2 linked regions of the Oreochromis niloticus genome follow. The protein of the gene in region 2 interacts with the protein of the main gene of each other region in a pairwise test. Links are inferred from orthologs where the notes say so. Each region holds a gene or a part of one and is shown on either strand. Other genes may lie near its edges.

What was found. The genes of interacting proteins can lie anywhere in the genome.
Region 1: the proteins of vbp1 (region 2) and pfdn4 interact in binary tests that used the Homo sapiens proteins (3 or more experiments, as listed by UniProt). The link is inferred for Oreochromis niloticus from reciprocal best matches to the Homo sapiens genes VBP1 and PFDN4.

Annotation. Positions count from the first base shown.
Region 1 is NC_031984.2:7,714,318-7,718,071, reverse strand, and holds the start of pfdn4 (prefoldin subunit 4), read right to left. Parts: upstream 2,152-3,754; 5' UTR 2,041-2,151; coding exon 2,014-2,040; intron 591-2,013; coding exon 483-590; intron 1-482. UniProt on the Homo sapiens protein: Binds specifically to cytosolic chaperonin (c-CPN) and transfers target proteins to it. Binds to nascent polypeptide chain and promotes folding in an environment in which there are many competing pathways for nonnative proteins.
Region 2 is NC_031967.2:30,268,427-30,272,180, reverse strand, and holds the start of vbp1 (prefoldin subunit 3), read right to left. Parts: upstream 2,464-3,754; 5' UTR 2,401-2,463; coding exon 2,320-2,400; intron 549-2,319; coding exon 424-548; intron 170-423; coding exon 103-169; intron 1-102. UniProt on the Homo sapiens protein: Binds specifically to cytosolic chaperonin (c-CPN) and transfers target proteins to it. Binds to nascent polypeptide chain and promotes folding in an environment in which there are many competing pathways for nonnative proteins.

The DNA of each region.
Region 1 (3,754 bases), on a different chromosome or scaffold from region 2:
GAGGTTTGTGCTGATGAGAGTAAATGTGGTCCAAAGTATCGACTGAGTCAGTTTTGTGGTCATTTTAAAGTAAAAGGACAACAAAAGAGCATTAGAAACATCTCCATGGATATCCATATCCACCAGCAGGACAATGACAAGGTTTACCAAACAGCTAATTAAAGTCACTTTTCCAGCAACTAGGCTAGAAAGTGAAACCAGTGCACAAGTGATAAAGGAATGAGGTTACTTTCTGTTAAATTCAAACACAAGCCGATTCAAATAAAGTGCTAAGTAGTCAGACTTCTCCTCCAGTCATTAACCAAGTTCAATCTTCCTGATCAGAGTGCCAGTTGTCATTTTGAATTTAATGTAATAATTTTATCTAGATATAAAAACTCACATCTGGGTGTAGTTTGACTTTTGTAAATTTAATTGAACACTCTAAATCCTTGCTCCGATATAAGACTAAACCACGTCTTCCCACCCCCGGTAGTACTCACCCTCCTTTCCAATATCTCATTCTTCAGCTCCGTCATCCGATTCGTGTTCCTGGCAAATTTATTGATCTTTTGCTGGTCTTCAAACGTTACATTCACATCTTCAACTGCCTGCAAACAAGGAGAAATGACTTGAGTTTGCAGTTCATTTTAGCCTGTTAAACATGACAATCTTACATGCCCTGACAGAATTTAGCTCATTCTGCTATGAGTTATAAGTATTGTTCAGCAGCAACTTTTCCAAAGATGAAATCACAAGCATCACAAGGACATGTCAACTGTGTTAACTGGGAAAAACAACAACAACAACAACAAAAACCCACCACCTTATGATGGGAAAAGCATTTAGTAAGATCAAAATAAGCCTTATAAATAAAGAATGTGTGTGGGGTTTTTGTTTTTAAATCAAGCCTAAGGAGTAAAACCAACGAGCTGTGTTCAGTTTCATTTAGAGTGACCAAGTGGCCTACTTTATGCGGGATTGCACAATGTTTTTATTTTTCACCTCCTGTCCTGGACTTCGAATTGGCCCCAATTCACCACAGCACAGGTCTGGCTTTTAGTCGACTATGTATCGAAAAATACCGCAAATAAAAGTTATGTGGTGTGATTTTGCTGGCACTGCACTGCAATTTCCCTTTTGAGAGGGTAAAATAAATAAATAAACTATGCATTTTTTATTTGAACCTCGAGATAGGCTATATCTGTGAACCTCAAAAACCTGTAATTTAGTTGATTCGAAGTGCTAAAAGAAATTTATCAGTGCATTCCTCCTCAACACAAAGATTATTAAGAGGGGAACAGCAGATCAGACACCAGAACAAATTCTAAACAAGTACTGCAATACAAGACTATTGCATTAAAAAAAATAAAAAGCAATAGCTGGAAAGTTGTTTGTAATGGTGCATATAGATTTGTACCCGTCAGTCACATCCTCTGCAACCCGCATAGCTTTATCACACTGCCTCTTAGCATTACCGTGACCCACATTGTCCAACACATGAAAACCATTTGCTCCACATTTGGCTCGTTGTGATGTGGTCGTCCTACTGTGCTGTTGGCCCGTCAGAAGCACTTAAATATCATTTGAACGAGACTGAGCAGGGTATTGGTCATTCATTGGGGACATAAACTGCTTTAGCTTGTCGTTTCTTAGACAGTTAACTACAGGCCAGTTTTTATTTTGTTTGCTAGCATGCTAGCTTGGGTGTCCCATCACCTGCAGCGGCCACTGCCCTGATCTGGATATTGAGCTCATTATTTCACCACATAGTTTTTAAGCTTGCACGAACAACAGCTGCAAAATTACAACGTATGTCGAGCTAGTGTTTTAACACAAGGAGGTATCGCTTTACGGTAGCTACACGAGGGTGTGACGGCGCTTTCAAATATCACCGCCGTGAGAAAGCTCGGCGTCTTAATCGCACACATACACGATGCCACCTTTCTTTCTGCATCCCTTGTTAAAACAGCGATACAGTAACAAAAATTGCAAGACAAAAAAAGTGGATTTTTGTTTAAAAATATTCCTCACCACGGACGATTTCATGGTCGCTGCCATCTTTGCTTCTTCGACTGTTCACCCGCAGCGTCGCTCAGCGGAATAAATATCCCCACACTGCCACCTATCAGCAGGCCTGATCTGGAGTTTGACCCCCACAAGTTGGCCAGAAAATGTGTTTACTTCTCTCAAAATGTTTGTTCAGTTCTTTTCCTTCTTTTTGAGTTTTTGTGTGATTGATTTGATTATTTAGTTGAGTTCATGTTCTGGTAAATATAGTTAGATATGTCGCAAGGTGCTTTCCCTTACATTTACATCTAAAAGCTGAAATTTGATTTATTTAAAAAAAAAAAAACAGCATTTTTTTTGTTCTGTTGTAGGTAATTATCTCAATAAATGTGCAAACGTGCTTTCAATATGCCAAACTAGTTATTATGCCAACCGGAACTGCTGTTCTGTAAATATTTGCACACAGTACTGCACCCAAGTTCAAATATTTAATGAATACATCTGTAATGGGAGAAGACTAGAAATTCATATTTGTCTAAACCGAATTACAATGCACCACCTGTAGTTTTAAGCATCACTGGCGTTTTGGTCTGAGTGAAAAACAAATTGTAAATATGCAGGTTTTTCTGTCTCAAAATCAGCAGTCTTTATCTAACTTTGTAGGAACCACTAGCATACCTAGTAGGCTGTTATGCGTTGGTGCACCATGAAGAGCTTTCTTGAGGCCCCTCAGCTGCAGGCCTTGCATGAAGTCACCAAACAGGGGAATCCAACTCCCACCTCAGAATGCAGTCTATAGGATACAGTCGAGCCATTGTTTTCATGGATTCCAGGGCTTGCCATAATAAAGTCAATAAATAGTGCACATGTTATAGTCTTTTTTAGTTTGTTTCTTAAGCATGCTTGTTTGTGATAAAACGCATTCACATACTTTGATTGACTTGCATTAACAAGATGTTGAATGATTTGACGTTTGACGTCCTCCAGGAGTCGAATGACTTCTAGAAGTTAAATCCAATAAAACAAAAGCCTTTGTCAGCATTATCATGGCCTATTTACTTACAAAAAAAGCAAACATAAAGATGAGTTCATCTTCAGTACCATATTGACATACACTGATAATCAATAGTATCTAACTATGGACACGTGGAAGCCTTTAAACACAGACATTTTGACATGATTTTATCACAAAGCTTGTTACCTGCCTTGATGACCTCTTTTCTCTTTTTTAATCAGATAATACCAAAACAACACAATGGGTATGTTAAAGCACATCTGTGTGAATAGATTTATTTTTATCAATTAACTGCATCTTTAAAGACTAAATCAGTAAAAAATGCTAAAAGTGTTCTCTTCAATTTAACCAGTGCCAACATAGTTGTTTTGGTTTTGTCAGCGTGGATGCTTGCCAGACCGGTATCCTTAATATCCTTAATCCTGTTAGGTCCCCGCCAGATTGGTCAACAAACTGTTTGGACCGCCTTATCACAGTGGGCTTGGACAGATTCACACCTCATTATGATCTTGTCAGGGTATTTTCAGGATGCCACATGGAGATTACTGTGAGTTGATCAAAGCACCAATACAGCGCACTTTTTTTTTCAGAGGAAATCCAACTGCCAACGTGAAAACAGACCCACCCATTTTAACACACACATAAAGTGTCCAGTTAACAAAAGTCTATATACATAGTTGGGCAAAAGGAGGAAGTCCATCTCAGACAGACCCGCCGTATCCTTAAGAAGGAAGTCAAATAACAAGGTAA
Region 2 (3,754 bases):
TTCACTTAACATCAAATCAAATTACAACAGGCTCAACACACAATTACACTGGTGTCACACAATGGTAACATTTTAAAGTTGGTTCACAACAACCGTACGCACCTTCTTCTTCTGCATGTGTCGTAGGATTTCTAGCGTTTGTCTGATTTGAGGGATCTGGTTTTTCAACCTGCGAGCAAAGAGATGTGATTTGGATGTTATTATGAAACGTGTGTGTGTGTCCTTATTCGTCTAAATTCTGCTGATGCCCTTCTTTAAACAGCTCACTAAATGTCTTTAATATCTGTCCAAATCTTTGATTATCACTCAGAAATGATGTCCACCAGCTGATGGTGTCCCATATTAACACCAAACTCTAATGACCTGTCAAATCTCTGTCTAAGCCCATAACAACAAGGTTAAGTGTTCCTTCACTGGTGTCACCTGAGTTTCTTCTGAGACAGGTTGAGCTCCATGTATTTATATTTCTGGTACTGTTCGTCCAGCCTCCTCAGCACCGCGTCCGCCGTCTCATTGCCGGGCTGCTTCATAAAAGAGTCGACATCCTCCTGAAAATCCAGGCAAGAGAGAAAGAATGAACCAAGATTAACTAACAATGAACTAAACAATAACAATAAACCAGAAAGCAAACAGTTGAGCTGGTTTAGGCATCAGATTGGGATGCCTCATGAGCGAGGTGATTTGGGCACCAGGACACACTGGAGAGATTATGTACTACCTCAATCCCAAAGCAGTTGGGATGAGGGCAACAAAAGTGGTACTAAGGAAGGAAGGAAGGAGGAATGTTTTATAACTAATTAGGTTAACTGGCAACAGGTCAGTCACAAGATTGGGTATAAAAAGAGCATGTTAGAGAGGCAGATTTCCTCAGGGTTAAATACAGGCAGAGGCTCAACAGTCTACAAATTGCGGAATCATTTCAGAATAAATTTTTCTAATGGCATCTTCATGCCATGTTTTCAGTAAGTTAATGTTAAGAAACTTATGAAGTCAACTCTTCTGTAACAAAAAACATTGTACGTTATGGAATAGCTGGTGATTTGGACGTCAATGAGGACAAATAAAAGGCAACTCTAAATAAAGAACAACATTAGAACTTTGCACTCAAACTGCCTGCTGAAGATGCAGGAATTAGTTTTACACCAAATTACTTCATTACACTGTCAAGATGTTTAATAATCAGGCCCCATGTATCTTAAAGACCTCATAGTACCATGTCTTTCAAATTAATGGCCTCTTAGACTCTTACTGGTCAGAAACACTTCATTTCTTGACAAGGCTTTTATTGTGAAAGATCTGTTGGGACTTGCAACAGCTCAAACTGTTTCCACCATAAAAATCTGAAACAAACACATGATAAAATCACATTTATAATATCTGTGAATCTGATGTTCAGCTTTTGATAGCCGGTTAGAAATGTACATGTGCTCATCACAGGTGAGTGAGGGATAGAGGGAGCAGAAACGGGGAGATTACACATCCAGGAAGCAAAGCTGTGTGAGGAAGACATGGTGGCTGACAGGTGGAGATGGAGACTGTACATTAAACTGCACTGTGCTCTGACATGCACATGCATGTAGGTACATGTGTGACTGATACTTTACCAGACGACTACACCTCAACCTGTAATCGACTGACCAGGTCTGGTTGTAATTGGCCTGTATTTGCTCAGCAAAGGCCAAAGAACATACATGAGTGAGGATTTGCAGTGAAATAAGTGATGAATTACTGAAAACTAATTGCCTAAGATGCTTTTAAGTAAATGAAGATCAACATTTTCCAGTTTTGGTGGAGTTTTGAACTGCTGACCTGATGAAACAAACACACTGAGGACACGGCAGTGGGCTCTGTGATATAATGCACACTCTAAAGGAGAAAAATAACCTGCAGATCACGTGACACTTAACTTTGTGCTGTATTTGCAGCTGTCAGGAGACAGGACACCTGAGAGCAGTAGCTCATATATGTTGGGACGTATTCACTATACACGTTAAATCTAAATGTGCTCATCTTACTGCCTGATTGTGCACGGAGGAGGCTAATGTCACCAAAGCAGCCTCCAGTTAGACTGATGTGTGGCTGGATGAACTGACCTAAAGCCTAAAGAGGAAACGAGGCAGAGTGACAATAATGCAGTGATGTCCATAGATGGAAACGAGCTGCCGCCCAGCCTGCACACACAGCAGGCTTGTCTGTTAGCTTAGCTGTTAGCCAGCATGCTGCACCCGCACACCGGAAGCTACAGCTACAAGTGTGTCTTCAGCGGAGTAATAACAAGTCAAACCAGCGACACAGCGACAAATGTCCGGGTTTACCCACCACAAAAACCGCTTCTGGGATCCCGAGGTGCTTTCTCTTTGTCGCCCCTACGGCATTGCTGTTGTCTATGATCGCTGCCATCTTGGAGAGAGGATACTCCTTCCTTCCTGACGTACGAGCATGCGTACAAGCGTCTTAAGCGGGGAAACAAGACTCTGCTGCTTCTAGTGGTCACAGGCTGCAACTGGAGTAACACAAAAGGCTCAACGAGTCTTTTTTGAATCAAGAACCTTTTAATGTCACACATAATAATGAAACATTATTAATGATTTATAATAGTGTTAGTAACATGATTACAGCATTCAAGGCACATATAAATCCAGCCACCTAAACAAAACATAATTACAGTACTGTGAAAAAAGTGTAGTCATCCCTCATTCCTCTGTATATTACTTCCAAGGAACGAGACTTTTTTGTAATTTTTAAAGTGCTCTTGAGCAGTAGTTTTCCCGGCTTTCTGAGTTTTTCTCAGGAGATCAGCTGCTTTTTCATTTATTTTCAGTCCAGCCTTTCTACCTGACCATTGATAAGCCACATAACACTGCTATGAATTATTCAAGCATAAAAAGGCTCAAGGAAAGAATCAATTTGTGGCTGTACATAACATACTTTTTAAAATCTTGTCTTTAGGCACTTGAAAAATGTTAGTGATCACACAGTTTAAGAGGGATAAGATGACTTCCAAAGAGCTGTTAGCCAAAAACCTGCCACATCCCAGCATGATGTGCAGGGCGTCCTTAAAAATAGAAACTGGACAAGTGGAGGACAAAAGAACAAGTGACAGGCTTAAAAAATGAAAAGGTCAAAGGATGCCAAATTACACAAGAACTGGACTGAAAATCAGTAACAAATGTGTCGTATGGAGTGATGAATCAAAACTTGAATTCTTTTTGGTTTAAATCGTCATCAGTATGTAAGGAAACTTGGGTTTGTCATGGTTTGGGGCAACATTTCAGCCAATGTTGTTTGGGGATTTTGTCAACACTGAGGGAATTATGGACACCGAAAAGTACTGTCAGGGAATATCATCTGGAAGTCATGTTTTTAATAAATCTCCACACCTATCTGCGTTTTCTCAAGTAAAATATAAAAAGCAAACAGAAAAGTGAAGAGTAGATTAACTCGAGAGCTCACGCAATATAAATTCAATATACAGTAAAACAAAGAATTAAAATGGAAAGGATAAGAAGAACTCGATTAGCATTTATCACCAATAATTTAAGAAAAAAATCTATTAATATGCAAGCTTAAACAGAAATGGGTCCTAGTAAAACACACAGATGCATTTTATATTACAGTTTTTCAGTCAATTCAAAACATCTCAAATAAAGTGGTTTAAATTTAAATTCTAACTTTTTGAGAGACAAAGAAAAAGTCATTATGGTCAAGAAAGGTCAAGGAAGATATCTTCCCATTTGTTTTGTTTCTCATGATG